Linked DNA regions of Schizosaccharomyces pombe. The protein of the gene in region 3 purifies or fractionates together with the protein of the main gene of each other region. This does not show direct contact. Each region holds a gene or a part of one and is shown on either strand. Other genes may lie near its edges.

What was found.
Region 1: the proteins of pkl1 (region 3) and alp6 purify together in Schizosaccharomyces pombe (affinity purification with western blotting, with the first as the bait; one study listed by BioGRID). This does not show direct contact.
Region 2: the proteins of pkl1 (region 3) and msd1 purify together in Schizosaccharomyces pombe (affinity purification with western blotting; one study listed by BioGRID). This does not show direct contact.

The regions. Positions count from the first base shown.
Region 1 is NC_003423.3:480,448-485,828, reverse strand, and holds alp6 (gamma tubulin complex GCP3 subunit Alp6), read left to right. Parts: upstream 1-2,000; 5' UTR 2,001-2,122; coding exon 2,123-2,250; exon of another isoform or gene 2,251-2,289; coding exon 2,290-2,351; exon of another isoform or gene 2,352-2,391; coding exon 2,392-4,223; exon of another isoform or gene 4,224-4,276; coding exon 4,277-4,753; 3' UTR 4,754-4,881; downstream 4,882-5,381. Other genes in the region: Ctf18 RFC-like complex subunit Ctf18, read left to right, coding at 1-1,256, 1,337-1,467, 1,517-1,880; U3 snoRNP protein Utp15, read left to right, coding at 4,933-5,250.
Region 2 is NC_003423.3:3,048,717-3,052,459, reverse strand, and holds msd1 (microtubule-anchoring factor Msd1), read right to left. Parts: upstream 1,910-3,743; 5' UTR 1,881-1,909; coding exon 885-1,880; 3' UTR 501-884; downstream 1-500. Other genes in the region: gpi14 (pig-M family mannosyltransferase), read right to left, coding at 1,983-2,216, 2,267-3,743. UniProt on the Schizosaccharomyces pombe protein: Has a role in meiosis.
Region 3 is NC_003424.3:3,437,161-3,442,708, reverse strand, and holds pkl1 (kinesin-14 family minus-end directed microtubule motor Pkl1), read right to left. Parts: upstream 3,820-5,548; 5' UTR 3,777-3,819; coding exon 3,765-3,776; intron 3,727-3,764; exon of another isoform or gene 3,723-3,726; coding exon 3,089-3,722; intron 3,036-3,088; coding exon 1,348-3,035; intron 1,223-1,347; coding exon 1,058-1,222; 3' UTR 1,023-1,057; coding exon of another isoform or gene 914-1,022; 3' UTR 786-913; coding exon of another isoform or gene 661-785; 3' UTR 592-660; downstream 1-591. Other genes in the region: pfd6 (prefoldin subunit 6), read left to right, coding at 422-461, 512-582, 661-785, 914-1,022; U5 snRNP-associated protein Aar2, read left to right, coding at 4,648-5,548.

The DNA.
Region 1 (5,381 bases), on a different chromosome or scaffold from region 3:
GGATAAAAGCTTGGGATCCTTGTGTGTTTGGAAAATCTCGATTACAGCCCTCAAAGAGTATGCGTTTTAACCCCAGATTTACTAATATCACTTCTGATAGTGATAGACCTGATAAACGGATTATGATGCTGACTGGACTGGCAGGTGCAGGTAAAACGACTTTGGCTCATGTTATTGCTCATCAGGCTGGATACAAAGTTTTGGAAATAAATGCTAGTGATGATCGTACTGCTCATACGGTTCATGAAAAGGTATCCTCTGCCATTAGCAATCATTCAGCCTTGTCATCTCAACCTACATGTGTTATAGTTGATGAAATTGACGGAGGTGATCCTGCATTCGTACGAGCACTTTTGAGTTTATTAGAGAGTGACGAAAAAGCGACTGAGTATTCTCAAGCTGGTAATTCAAAGAAAAAGAAAAAGTTTAAGAAACTTTGTCGTCCCATTATTTGCATTTGTAATGACTTATATACTCCAGCACTTCGACCTCTGCGACCATATGCTCAAATAATATATTTTCGACCACCTCCTCAAGCATCTCTTGTCGGTCGTTTAAGGACTATTTGCCGAAATGAAAATATAGCTGTTGACAGCCGCTCTTTGACTTTGCTGACAGATATCTATAATTCTGACATTCGAAGCTGTATCAACAGTTTACAACTTTTGTCTTTAAATAACAAACGTATAGATTCTGAGACCATAAAGCTTTTGCAACCAAAAAGTAATTCTTTTAGTACTTCTAGTTTAATCCAATCTCTTTTTTTACAACTTGATAATAAACAAATACGTGCAATTGAAGCATCGCAACCTACTTACTCACATTTGGACGCCCTCCTTGCAAGGATTGATGGAGCTAATGATTCTGAATCAGTCTTGATGAATTGTTTTCATACATACTTAGATCTTCCTTTTACTGATAGCTTACTTTCTAAACCTGCTTTGACAAGCGAGTGGCTTTACTTTTTCGACCAACTTCATTCACAATGTTATAAGGGAAATTATGAGTTATGGAGGTACATACCTTATTCCATTATTCATTTTCATTATTTGTATGCAACTCCTGAAAAGTGCCGCCTTCCGCATCCTCCCAGAAGTGATTTGGAAGCTTTAAAACTTTATCGTACTCGCAAAGAAATATTGGATTCATTCATATCGACGCTAAATGCTTATGAAAATCAAATGCATGGAGAAAGATCAATTCTTTTGGAACTTATCCGTACAATTTTAATTACCATAAATCCTACACTAAAACAGGTAAGGTCTATATATTTTAAAAAAAAAAAAAAAAAAAATTGCGTGAAACAATATTTTTTTAATTTACTAACTTTTTATAGAAAGAAGATTCTATGCCAAGGAGCGCTTTACCTTCTAAAATTGAGCATGCGATTAACATTTTAAATCATTATAATTTGCGTTTCCAACAGCTTCCCGTTGGAGATGGCAACTATGTGTATAGGCTTGAGCCGTAAGTTCCAATATTTTTATTTCTTTCTAGTAATAGCTAACGTTGACAGACCTTTGGATGAATTGGTTTGGGACGCACCTACAAGTTCATATTCTGTTCGTCAAATGCTATCTCAGGAACTGCTCAAGAAAAGGCTCGCAGACATTAAAAAACAAACCCTAACGGACAACCCCACTTCTTCGAATTCTTCAAGAAAGCGCAAAGATTTTAATTCCGGAAAAGCAATTAAGAGAGATTTTTTTGGCCGTATCATTTCTGAACCAAAATCTGAAGCAGTTACATCGAATAATGCAGCTTTGAATACAGGAGATCATCCAGTTTCCATCAAGCATGCAATCAATATCAAATTTCACGATGGGTTTTCCAATGCTGTGAGAAAACCAATATCGTTGAACGAGATTCTGAATTTCTAATCTAATGTGCATTAATATTTTTAATTTCAATCTTTTTGAAATAAAATCAATCATTTAATTTAAAAAAAAATCACTAGTAAAAATAGGTGTATGCGTAAATTCATCTAACCATTATTTCCTGACCGCGACTTCGGCGTGTACTTTGTCAATGGCTTTAAGATTTTGAGTTAACGATCAATACTTGTATTTCTCTATTTTAATTCAAAAATAAAAAAAATACTTTCGTCATTTGAAGTTCTCAAATGTCGGAGATTCATGTGAAAACTGCATTATCACGTCTGGCGGACAAGTATTTACAGAACTCCAAAAACCCTTCTGTCCCTTACACAATTGAAACGATCGTGTCTTTCTTTCAGGAAATAATTCACTCGTAAGCTAATTTCGTGTAAATGATCATGCTAACTGTTAGCATTTCTCCTGATACTTTTCAACTGGACATTGATGACATTCTGTACAAAATATATTCAAAAAGTATGTGAAGGTCTAAATACCAAAATTAACAGTTTTTTAGTTCCCCCCGAAGAAAACAATGATGCTTTATTTTCTAAATTATCTAACTTAGTTTCGCGTTTGAAAAGTCAAACGGTCATTCACAACAAATCTCAAATACTCTATTTCTTATACTTGCTCTCTCCTATTTCTCAGTCATCAAGAGATGTCTCCTCTCATTTATTAGATGAGTCTATTTCCAATCCTATCAATATTCCATCAACAGAAGTGGAATCCTCAAACTTTGGTCAGACACGTTACGATCAAGTTCCTGAAAACCCCCAAATTACTGATTGGGATGAAGGATTGGAAAATGAAAGTTCTATCTCAATTGCTCATGATTCATCTAGGCTAAACCGTAGTACTGAAACTTCTTCTGTTCAACATACTTTGATTACAGAAGCCGATTTGTTGTCTTCAATATCTTACGTACTTCAAGGAATTTCTACCGAATATGTTCAGTTTAAAAATGAATTAGCGCTGTTGTCTAAGAGAATACCTGTCCAATACCTTTTACAGATGCGAGCTCTTTCAGAGACAGGCTTATTATATCAGGAACTAAAGGTTTTCAGCAATTATGATCCTTCGGTCAGTCAATCCATTGATGGTGATAACGTTAGTAAAGCATTTATAAACGATCAGTCTTTAGCTTTACAAAGTTTAAAATCGGTCATTTCTAAAGAGCTGACTAATTTCCTTGCGTTAATTGCATCTCTGGATTCACAAATTCGAGCAGACGCTTCACTTGAGAAGCCTATGGTAACTATCCGGCGTTGCATTGCCTGGACGCAAGTTGCCAAGCTAAAACTTAGAATTTTGTCTTCAGTTGTTAATGATAATATGAACCAGGAGAATAAAAAAAGATTGATTCAAGTGGTTTCGAAATACAATGTGCATGGAGATCCGCTAATACAAGAATTGAGTGATAAAATACTAACAGAAATTACTGGACCTTTATACGAAATGATTGAAAACTGGATTTATAAAGGAGAATTGGTCGACCCTTATCAAGAATTTTTTGTTAAAGAAAAAAATGGTAGTGAAAGCCATGATCATCAAGGGCAAGGTGATGTCGTCTGGAAAGGTAAATATTTTTTAGACAAAGAGTTAATACCAAGTTTCCTTTCTGAAGAACTTGTCGACAAAATCTTTTTGATTGGAAAGAGTTTAAACTTCGCACGTTATGGATGTGGTGATTTTGACTGGGCACAAGAGCATTACCAGAAGCTAGTGAAAAAACTTAGTTATAGAGACCCTCATTCATTAGAAACAGTGGTTGATAAGGCGTATACTGAGTCCATTAATCACTTAGTATACTTGATGGAAGAGGTGTTTCATTTGACTGATCATTTAAAGGCTATCAAAAAATACCTTTTACTAGGACAAGGTGATTTTGTGGACTTATTAATGGAGAGCCTTGGTAATTCTTTGGATCAGCCGGCTAATACTTTGTTCAGACACAATTTGACTGCTTCTTTAGAAAGCGCCATTCGTTCAAGTAATGCATCTTATGAACCTGAATACGTATTAAAAAGATTGGATGCTAGGCTTCTGGAGCTTTCACATGGTGAAACTGGTTGGGATGTTTTTACGTTGGAGTATAAAGTTGATTCACCTATCAACGTAATAATAACACCATATTGCTCTAGACAATACTTAAAAATATTTAACTTTTTATGGAGGTTGAAACGAATTGAGTTTGCCCTTGCCCATTCCTGGAGGCGAGTAAATTTGGGCGAGCGAAATGTCTTCAGAAATCTGGATTACACAAAATTCGAATGGCATTTTGTCAGTTGTCATCTTGCGGAAATGATTCATTTTGTTTGTCAACTTCAATATTATATACTCTTTGAGGTAACGAAAAACCAAAACCCAATTTTGCATTGTATACTAACCATTGGAAACAGGTTATCGAAATTAGTTGGCAAGAATTACAGCTTGCTATGGAGAAACCAAACGCTACATTGGATACGTATATAGAGGCACATGAAAAATATGTTACTAGTATAACTCATAAGGGCTTGTTGGGTGGTGGTAAGTCAAGGAATGAAGATTCCTTCCTTCATCAGCTTCATGATATACTTAAAGTTATCTTAAACTTTCATGATGCAATTGAGTTGTTGTATAACTTTTCTTGCTCCCTGTCGAATAGAATTCGCATTAATGTACCAATTTCGACTGATGCTTTGGCAGCTCAATACACCCCTATAAAAAATGAACTCTCAAATTTTACTGAGGAATTCCAGGTTCGACTTCAAAAATTATTACATGGATTAGCTTCCCATAAGGACCCAGAAATGCGCTTTCTTTCCGTTCGTCTCAATTATAACGAATTCTACGTTTCTCATAGACGGCGTCATGATAAGGATGTTACCAGTCAATAAATGAGGTTCATGCATGATTATTTAAACTTTTATTACTCGTAGTAAACTATAAATTTAGTTATTAATATTTAATGTGATTTAACTATCGTTCAGCGGTGCTGTTTAATTTGCCTTTGCCAACCACCAACACCACCCACCCATTTGGTTAACTTTTTTCAGCAACCACATATACGGATATCATGTCCGCGCCTGCTGGTAGACTTCAACCTCAGCGTTTTGCTGCTTTACCTAATCCCGTTACTGCTGAAAATAAATTTTGGCGGTCATTCAAGGTTCCTGTCGTTGCCAAGGAATATAGTGCTATCACTAGTATTCATTTTTCCGCTGAATCCCCTTATGACTTTGCAGTAACTAGTGGGGCTCGTGTACAAATTTATGGAGCTAGTTCAAGGTCTGTTAAAAAAACAATTGCTCGATTTAAGGATACCGCATATTCTGGTAACATTAGAAAGGATGGAAAACTTTTGCTTGCAGGAGATGCTACAGGACTTGTACAGGTAAGTCTACATTACCAAAAGCTTTGAAAGATAGTTGCAATTAAAACGTTGATAAGCTGCACATGGAATTTTGTTAGTTTAGTTTAGCTGATTGAAGCTGTCATTTGCTAGTATATAGCTAAAAAAATACC
Region 2 (3,743 bases), on a different chromosome or scaffold from region 3:
AGCAAGCGCCATAATGTATCAGGGAATGCACAATGCTACTTAACGATCCTTGATATATAGCACTATATGTTAAAAAATGTAAACAATAAGAAAATGTGATTTCAATAACAAAAGGTAATTATATTGTTTAACATTGAACACATTTGACAAAAAAAACTAATGTACTTGATCACACTACTAATGCTATTCTAAATTCGCTAAAGACTTGTCGCCAATAAAATTAATACACCAACGTATTCGCTTAAAAAGTATAATTAAAAAAAAAAATTGTTAAAATTTATTTATCATTATAGTAACTCTGATTTTTACTTTTTTAACAAAACCACCAATAATGATTTTTGAAGCTTACTAGTACCTTAAATATTTTGTTCTATTAGGGGTGTGTTAGTAGTTTTGAGCAGAATTGAAATTCGAAATATCAATATATTTATAATTATGTAGGTGTTTTTTTACAAATATAAAAAAGAATTAAAAATAACTTATGACTTTTTAGAAAATATTCCGGTTAATTATTTTTTTGAAGATTAAACACAATCGTAAGTGCTCCAACTAACTTTTACATGGAAATAATTAAATCGACTTTCTTGAGCTAGTGCCTACAATCCTTTAACAACATGCTTTCAAAGCCCTGGTGCACTGTTTAACAGTTTCACATTTTAAGGTATGTTAAATCGTTCAATTGAGAATAGAAATTTGCCTTCAAAATTCTGTACTTAGTGAAAGAAGATGCACTTGTTTACAATAAATAAATATTTAAAAAAATAAAAAGCAATCTTCCAGTTCTCAAAGAGGAATATAAGTGTCTTTGAATTGCGTTCTTTATTATTAATAAATTGGCTTTCGTTTAAGAAATCGAAGCAGCAAATTATTACGTTAAAAGTCAGTCAAAATTTGTCGTGCATATTTGTTAAAAATTCAAAAACTCTTTTGTTCTCCTTTTGAAGAATGTTTATCAAATGTTTATTTTTCTCGTTTTCCTCTAATATTGCATCCAATTCATCAATTGAAACATATTTACGTTCATGCAACAGATTACGAATAAAAAGCAGCTGATTTTGAATTTTTGCATCAAGAAGGATAGCATTCAGTTCACATACTTCAAACGGGTTCGAGTTAGGACGTTCGTATAAAGGACTTAACATCTCTACCAGTGAATTCAAGGTACCACTTAAACATGTCAAAAGTGTTCCGTTACTTTTTTTCAATTCGTTATTTAATCCTTTTAACAATTGAAATTCATCGTTATTCACCCTACTGTTAAGGAAATTGGAATTTTCATCATTCTGTTGCAAAAATGAAGCGGTCTCAGGTAGTATGGGGGCATTTGTGTTTTGCTTAATAGGCTCTTTAACGATTAACATACTATTTAGGTTTCTTCCTTTTCGAGCTTTCACTAGTCCATAGTTACCTTTCAAAGTCTCCATTTGTTGCTCATGCTGGCGTAATGAAACAGATAATTGATTCTTTAATGCCTTCAAAGTCAATTCATTTTTAGCATTTACATCTTTCAAACCTTTATTTTGTGTAATTAATTCAGCTTGATCTCTTTCCAGTGTTCTAACTTTATTCAGTTGCAATTGACATTCGTTTTGATAAAGCTCCAACTCATTTTTGAGCCGTTTTATTGTATTGTTATCTCTTTGCTTTTCATATTCATTATTTTTAATAGCATCAAGAAGAGATTCCTTTTCTAAACGTTCTTCGTCAGTTGCTCTTAATAAACGATATATGATGTTCACTATGTTGCAATTATCACGAATGTCATGAGAAAGGCGTAACTTTTCAGCTTGTATTACTCCTTTGGAAAATAAAGATTTGTTAATATACAAAAGGCTTTCTTCTATATTGCTGGGGTTGCAAAAAACAATGGGGGTGGTCATCTTCCAATGTTTACACTTATTAATGCGGTGGTGAAGAAATAATGTAGAACATCCTTATAAAAATCATCTATTGCATAGAACTTAAAACAGATTGATTATTAACTACAAAGAATCTAATATTATTTTTAATTCATAAACATTAAAAAAAAAAAAAAGTAAGCCGGAAAGCCAAAGAGGTATAAATACCGATTTTCCCAACATTTCTAAATTGTATGCACTAATAAGCCATAACAGCTGACCAATAATCCACAGAGACAGACAAATAAGTCCCTTCTTACTTAAAAGCTTAGAGTTTGGTAAAACCAGAGGTAGAAATACTAGATACCACATAAAATACTAAGTTGTTAGTATAATCCGTCATTCTTCTAATTTCAAACTTAACATACCTGACTGGTACAAACCTTATTAAAGGTTACAAATGCAAATGTTTGGGCAAATAGAGTCCCAGGTAAATTCTTTTTTCCAAAGACCAAGGGTATTAGCATGCACAAACTTAACTGCGGCAGAAATGCAAATAAAGAAGACGCTTTTGCTCCGAAAGATGATTCATAGTATAAGTTTAAATGATGTAGAGAGAAATTATGTCGATGATCTGTTCTACCAAAGTGGTAAAGATATGTATGTTCAAGGAATGGAGACCCGTAAAGGTAATACATCAATAAATTACATATCGTAAACATAAACAAAGAACCAACAACAATCTTTAACTGATTAATCGATAATAAAGATAGAAATTTTTCCATGAAAGTGGACCCTTTTTTTGGTTTTGAAAAATATACTAAGAAAGCAATCCCATACATAAATGGGTAAATTTTAAAATGCACAGAAAACCCAAGTATTAGGCTAGCTAGCCAAACTGATTTTTTTTCGATCAAATACAACAAAGCAATGCTCAATATACCAAGAATGGCTTCACAATTCCCTCGAGTACTGATTATGGCGACGAATGGGTTCAATATCCAGAAGGAAGAGTAAATTAACGACCTTTTGTAAGATATCCTCCTAGATAAGAGCTTAATCATAAGCCACCCAGCAATTAAGTCTGATATTGAAAACAAATATTTACCCCACGACGGAAATCCGTATTGAGTAGGAAGAAGCAAAATTGCCAACATTGGAGTATAGCGATATGTGTCACGCATATACGGTGACATTCCTATGGAGACATATTTTGATGCGTCCGAAAACACGAAATAATCGATGTCCGTAAATTTAAGGGCAGATCGTCTATCATGCCAAATACCATAATTCAACAATACAAGTCTCATCAATAGACCCAATAAAAGTAAAAGAAATGCATCAGTAGGCGCATATAGGAGATATAAACTACTTTCACGTAATTTGGTAATCATATTTTCACGACTATTGTACTTTGACAGTAATTTCATAGCTTTTGCATAATGGATAAGAGCTTCACGAGCACTTGTATTGAATAGACTGCAAACTTTCACATCCAAATCAATGAGATATTTTTCATCCTGGGTTAAACGATATTGCAAGCAAGATTGAATAAAGCACTGAATTCGCAAATATTCTTTATCTGAGACACTAGTGTTTGTCCATTCAAGCAAAGAATTGGTAACTCCAGCAGCTAGTAAAGAATATGCCTTTTCATAATTTTGAAAGTTGTATGATTGAATACCTTTGATTAGTGTATTAGCAGTCGAAGAACTGAGGTTCATTTTCGTTAAATCGTCATACTTAGGAGTTTTTACGAGATTCAAATTTACATTTTCCTTTTTCCGTATGTATCCGAACTGCAAAGTATTTTTTAAAAAAAGCGCAAGGTAACTAATTCGCAAACGAAGTGATGGTTCTAATAAAAGAGAAGATTCATATTCCTGGATCAAATCCTCACTTTTG
Region 3 (5,548 bases):
TTCATTATTTACGAATTGTTAATTCCAGAAGGATGCAGTTGAGAAGTGAACTAAAACAATATTTTTCATATCCTTTATTCAAAAAAAAGGTTTGCAATTCACTAATTTATATACTGAACCAAGTAGTTTTGTTGTATCAAAACAGTGAGTCTTTACTCAAAATTTCAGCAACACCTTCATTCACTCATTCATAAATCGATTTCCTAGTGTAGCTTACATTTCTCTGTTTAAATTAATTCGGTTTTATTTATTTCTCGTTTTTATCCAATATAGTCATAAAATCAATCATATCACACAATTAAAATATATTTTGTTCATAATATAGAATTTCAACGAACTTCGCTATTTCAGCTGACTTTCAAGGTAAGTAGAATGTCTCTTTACCTACTATCCTTTTACGTCTTTTTACACAGGAATAGAAATGGAGGAATTAGCTAAAAAATATCAGAACCTACAAACAGGTAAATCAAAACCTTCTGCATCGAATTAAATAATTAACGAAATTCCCAAGAACTAAGCACTTATGTCGAAAGTTTAAAAAAGTTGGAAACCCAATTACAAGAAAACACTACTGTCCTCAATGTACGTTAAGGCCACAAAAATTACTATTTTCCCTATTTTCTCCATTTATATTAGAATTGTTTTGTTAATGCGAATTAGGAATTGGAAAAAGTGGCTCCTGACTCAAATATATATAAGCAAATCGGTCCTACCCTTGTAAAGCAAAGTCATGAGGAAGCAAAGACCAACGTTAAAACAAGATTGGATTTCATTAATAAAGAAATGTATGTTTGTTGAAATTTGAAAAAGAAGAATTTCCTTGAGGTTAAAATCGCTCTCTAAAAATGCGAGTTGTACTTCTTCATTTGTATTATCGAATTGCGTATGTCATTTTATTAATTCATAATTATAGTGCACGCCTCGAAAATCAAACAAAAATCTCACAAGAAGAATTCAGCAAAGTTAAAGGTGCCATCATTCAAGCACAAGCAGCAGCTGCTCCACCAAACCCAGCATCTTAAATGCTTTGGTAAACATTTTTTACTCTAAAATAAGCTTAACGTTTATAATGTTTAATAGAACCTACTTTTGTATCATTGACTTTTGTTGCAAATCGCAGACTATTTAATGTATCCATGAATTGCGACTTTAAAGGAGACACATTAACAAACATCAGGGTTTTGGCACCTTTTCCAAGTGAATATTTTAACAAATAAGTTAGCTAATGTCTGGTTAGTACAAAAATGCTTTCAATATAGACTTTACACACTGCTGCAAAGCAAATAAGTAGCCACTTTGACAGTTAAAGAACGTGTTTCGTAAAGAACTTTTCATTCTAATACTCACCTTTGAATTTCGGTATGGTATGTGAGACTTTTCCTTCGTGGTACTATTTGAGGCATTTCCAAGTGCATGGATAACATCGCCAAGACAGCTGAGACTTTTATTAATAGCTTGCGTTTCTCGTAGTCTATCCCCAACTGCCTGACTGTAACTTAACCGCTCAGAACCTGCCAAATCAACTAGATTTAGCGTACCTTTACATATTTGTTTGGTTCTAGAATTTTCACCATCTATATACAGCATGAAAACAGTGTGTGATCTTGAAGACCGTTCATTTGCTTTTGTCGCTGCTATAAATCGATTTTCTCCTGCTCGATTTAGCATCTTGTAAACAGTATCTTCTTCATTAAAATCAATTATTGAAACGTTATCCACTGTTGTTCGTCTTTCCTTTTCATCATGATGAATATCGTGCTTAGGATTTTTCAACATTTCCGCTTTGTTTAATAGATCATAAATCGTTTCATTGTAAATTTCCAAAAACTGACCTCTCAATTTATACACCCACCCTTTCTCCCTCAAGGTTGATAGATAATTAAATATATGCTTAATTGACATCGCTATCATACCGTCTTGTGACGACATTGTGTACGTCTTACCCGATCCTGTTTGTCCATATGCAAATATACTAACATTATAACCATCAATAGCGCTTTGAATTAACTGTGATATTTCCTCAAAAACGGACGAGTTATCGCTTTCAGGAGCAAAGACTCGATCAAAGGAAAATTCATAATTACGATCATAAGTATGCCCGAGTGATGATTCAACATTAGGCCCTTTAAGAATAAGTTTTTGTGGCTCTAGTGCGTCTTTATCTGGAAATTGTAAAACATCAGCAATGCAATATTCGGATTCTTCACTTGGGAGTAGTGGTCTAACCCTACAAAAAACTCGAATATTTCCCTTTAGTTCTTGAATGTCGTTATGCAGCTTTCGTCTGATTATTTCTTCTGCTAACAGTTTATTATACATATCTTCATTTCTCCGTTCCAGCTGTTGGATTCGAGCTTGTAGTTCCAATGCGTTCTGGCCATTATTTCTTTCTTTATCTTGAATACTTGCAACATATTTAGAAAGTTCTTCAAGTTTTTCAGATGTAGAGTGGTGTTTATGCTCTTCCTTTAACAGTTTATTTCGAAGCATGTCAATTTCAGCTAACTTGTCTTCTAATTCTATACGCAGAGAGGAGATTTTTTCTTCATATTCTTTTTCCGAGTATGATTTTTCCGATTCATATTCTTTTACTGCCATTTCCAACTCAGATATTCTCCTTTTAAGCTTTTTAACCGTTAAATCATTCTCATATTCAATGTGGGATATTCGATCATTTTCTTCTTGTTGTTTCATTTCTAATAAGTCCAGAATTTTTTCTTTAAAACGCAAAATTTTCTCAGTACAAGAACCTTGTATCAGCACTAGAGCTCTCCGAAGTGATTCACAAATATTGGCATATTCATGTTTATATGACTTTACTTCGTTCTCAACAAAATCCCCAAAGGATTTTCGTTCACCATTTAGATTACAAACTAGAGAATGTGTTTTCTTTTCATGATAAAGTGCAAGTTCTTTGTGTTCTCGACGTAGCTTTTGGTAGCTTGCATTCGCAGCTTCTAACCTTTCCTTGGCTTCCTTCAACTGGATATTCGATATCGATAATTCAGAGGAAAGATTTTCTTTTGTTTCTAAAACTTTAAAATAGTTAGTAATCAAATAAAGTCAGCATAAAGACATGTATTCTTACTATCTTGCTTGGCCTTTTCTGCTGCCTCTCTGTATGATTGAAGTTGTAACGAATATTCATGATCCTTTTCAGCGTAAACCTGTTCTTGTACCTGAAGATGTGATCTAAGGTTCAAGTATGCAGACTCAATATCATCGGTTTCGTCTTTCGATAATAAACGATGTTCGCCATTAGATAGCATATGCAACCTTTCTAACTGTATAATATTTTTTGGTTTGCTTTTTAAATCTTTTATTCTCTTTAATGTATTAGAAGAAGCCATAGCTTGATCACTCTCGTAGGCTAACGTTGATTCGCATATTGTTTTATGAGATTCAATGAGATCTTTTAATTGAGGCAGCCAACTCTCTTTAAATTTGGAAACAGATTCTTCGTAATTAGATTCATGAGTAGAAGCAATTGGCGCTGTGACTACAGCGGCCTTGTCTCGATTGCTGTCCCTCTTCTTGCCATTAATGTCGCTTTGTAAAACGTGATTTTTTGATACGAAATTTTCGTATTTCAAATCATGTACTGCATCCTCTTGATTTGTTTTAATAATTTTTTTTGGTCGATATATTAAGTCCTCAGAATCTGTGTTTAAAGCATCTTCCTGTCGTTTATACCCTGTGTTTATGGAAATGTCCTTTGTATTCTTTCGCATTAATAAGATAAGTTACTCAGAAGTACCTCTTACCTCAATTACCATCTATAAGTTAAAAAGAGCGTTTTATAGAGTAATTCTTCCCAATACTATAAACACGAATTTATCAGCTCGACAAAACAGATTTTGATTAGCAGATGCTTTAAGAAACGTAAAACTATTTTACGTGGGTTAAATATGAGTGTTAAATTGTTAAGCAAATTCCAATGCTACGCATCATTATATGTCTCAAGCCTCTCGTGTATATCCATCTATGTTATTAATCAATGGTGTATAGAATACAATTGATTCCATTAACAAATAGTACTTAAGTAATATTATTTATATTATGTAATTCCACATTCCCTGATTGATTTTTGGAATATCTCAAACAAATTCAGTGTATCCTTACGTGTCTTTAAGTGAATTACAAAGTCCGCGGAAATGTGTAACACTACCTAAAATTTCGGTGAGCTTATATTACGATTTGCCATGTAGCGGTAGGTTGTACGTTTAACTAACAATTGTTACTTTTATTACTTTAAAGAAGTCTAATAGTGTCCAGTCAGCGATCTAGCTAACGACTAAACTAAAGGAGCGAGGTTCAGTTGTAGCTTTATTTAAAATGTCTCGATTAATTTATATCAATTGGAATATATTTAGATAGATGGAATTTTATCCGTAACTATGAATAAATAGATCTTAACTACTATTCTAGCAGGCGATATTTAGTGATACGAAACGATGTATATTATAGCGTAGTGTAGAATTGCTGACACCCAAAAACCTTTAATGTATTATGGTGTTTTTTATAATATCCATCGCTATAACTCTTAAATCAGTAGCCTGAAACTTAGCTTTGACCAATGTCTACGATCTTAAATTCAACTTAATAGACAAAATAAATGAAGATATGGAATAATTTGTTTTGTATATAATGAGTATAGAGTTTGTCGGATGGTTAAATACATATTACGTTGGCATTGATCAGAGTTCATATGAAGCTAGTAAGCTTCCAGGTATTCGAAATGTAAAAGGTGGAATTCATCTTTTCACTTGGTCTCCAACATACCCTGCTGGATTAATTTCTGGAGTTTTTGCTATGGTCCATGAAGATATGAAATATAGTATCGACTTTGATTCGAAATCTGAAACAGCTTCTTTGCAGAAGCTTGATGTATTATATGACGAAAACTTTTATCCCTTTGAATCAACAAAGGATTGGGACTTGTTGACGAAGTTCATTACAGTTCAAGATCTTCAAAGAATTTTTGCTACTGAAGGTGAATTTTTCTACTTAGACACTTCAACGTATGTCAACGCTGATCTTGTGTCACAAGATCCGGAATTCTCAAAACCCTCTCGAGACGATAAACTATTAAATTTCGCTGAATTCAATTTACGACGAAGCTGGTCGCCGTCTGCCACTGGACCTGAACGGTCTAAGCAAGCAATTGATAAATCGTTTTTGTTTCAAAGACTCGTCCAAAGCGTGTGGAATGACAATCCCATCTCTGCATTAGCGGAATTATCAATTTCCTTTCTGAGCTACTCTATTCTCTCCCACTATGGTGCTTTGGAGCATTGGAAGAATATGTTGAGTTTGCTATTGCAGTCTTATGAATTGGCGGAAACTGAACCAGAGTTTTACGCTTCCTTTTTGGAGCTTTTCAAACTTCAGCTTAGCTCACTAAGTGAATCCGACTTAGAAACGTCTGCCATTTTTGAGAAAGGCGTTTTACTATCTTGCCTTGATAGTCTAAGTGAAAGGAAAGTGGATGGTAGCTTTGGTTCTCTAGTAAACGAAGCGATAGAAAATCTCCTAAAAACTATTTCTG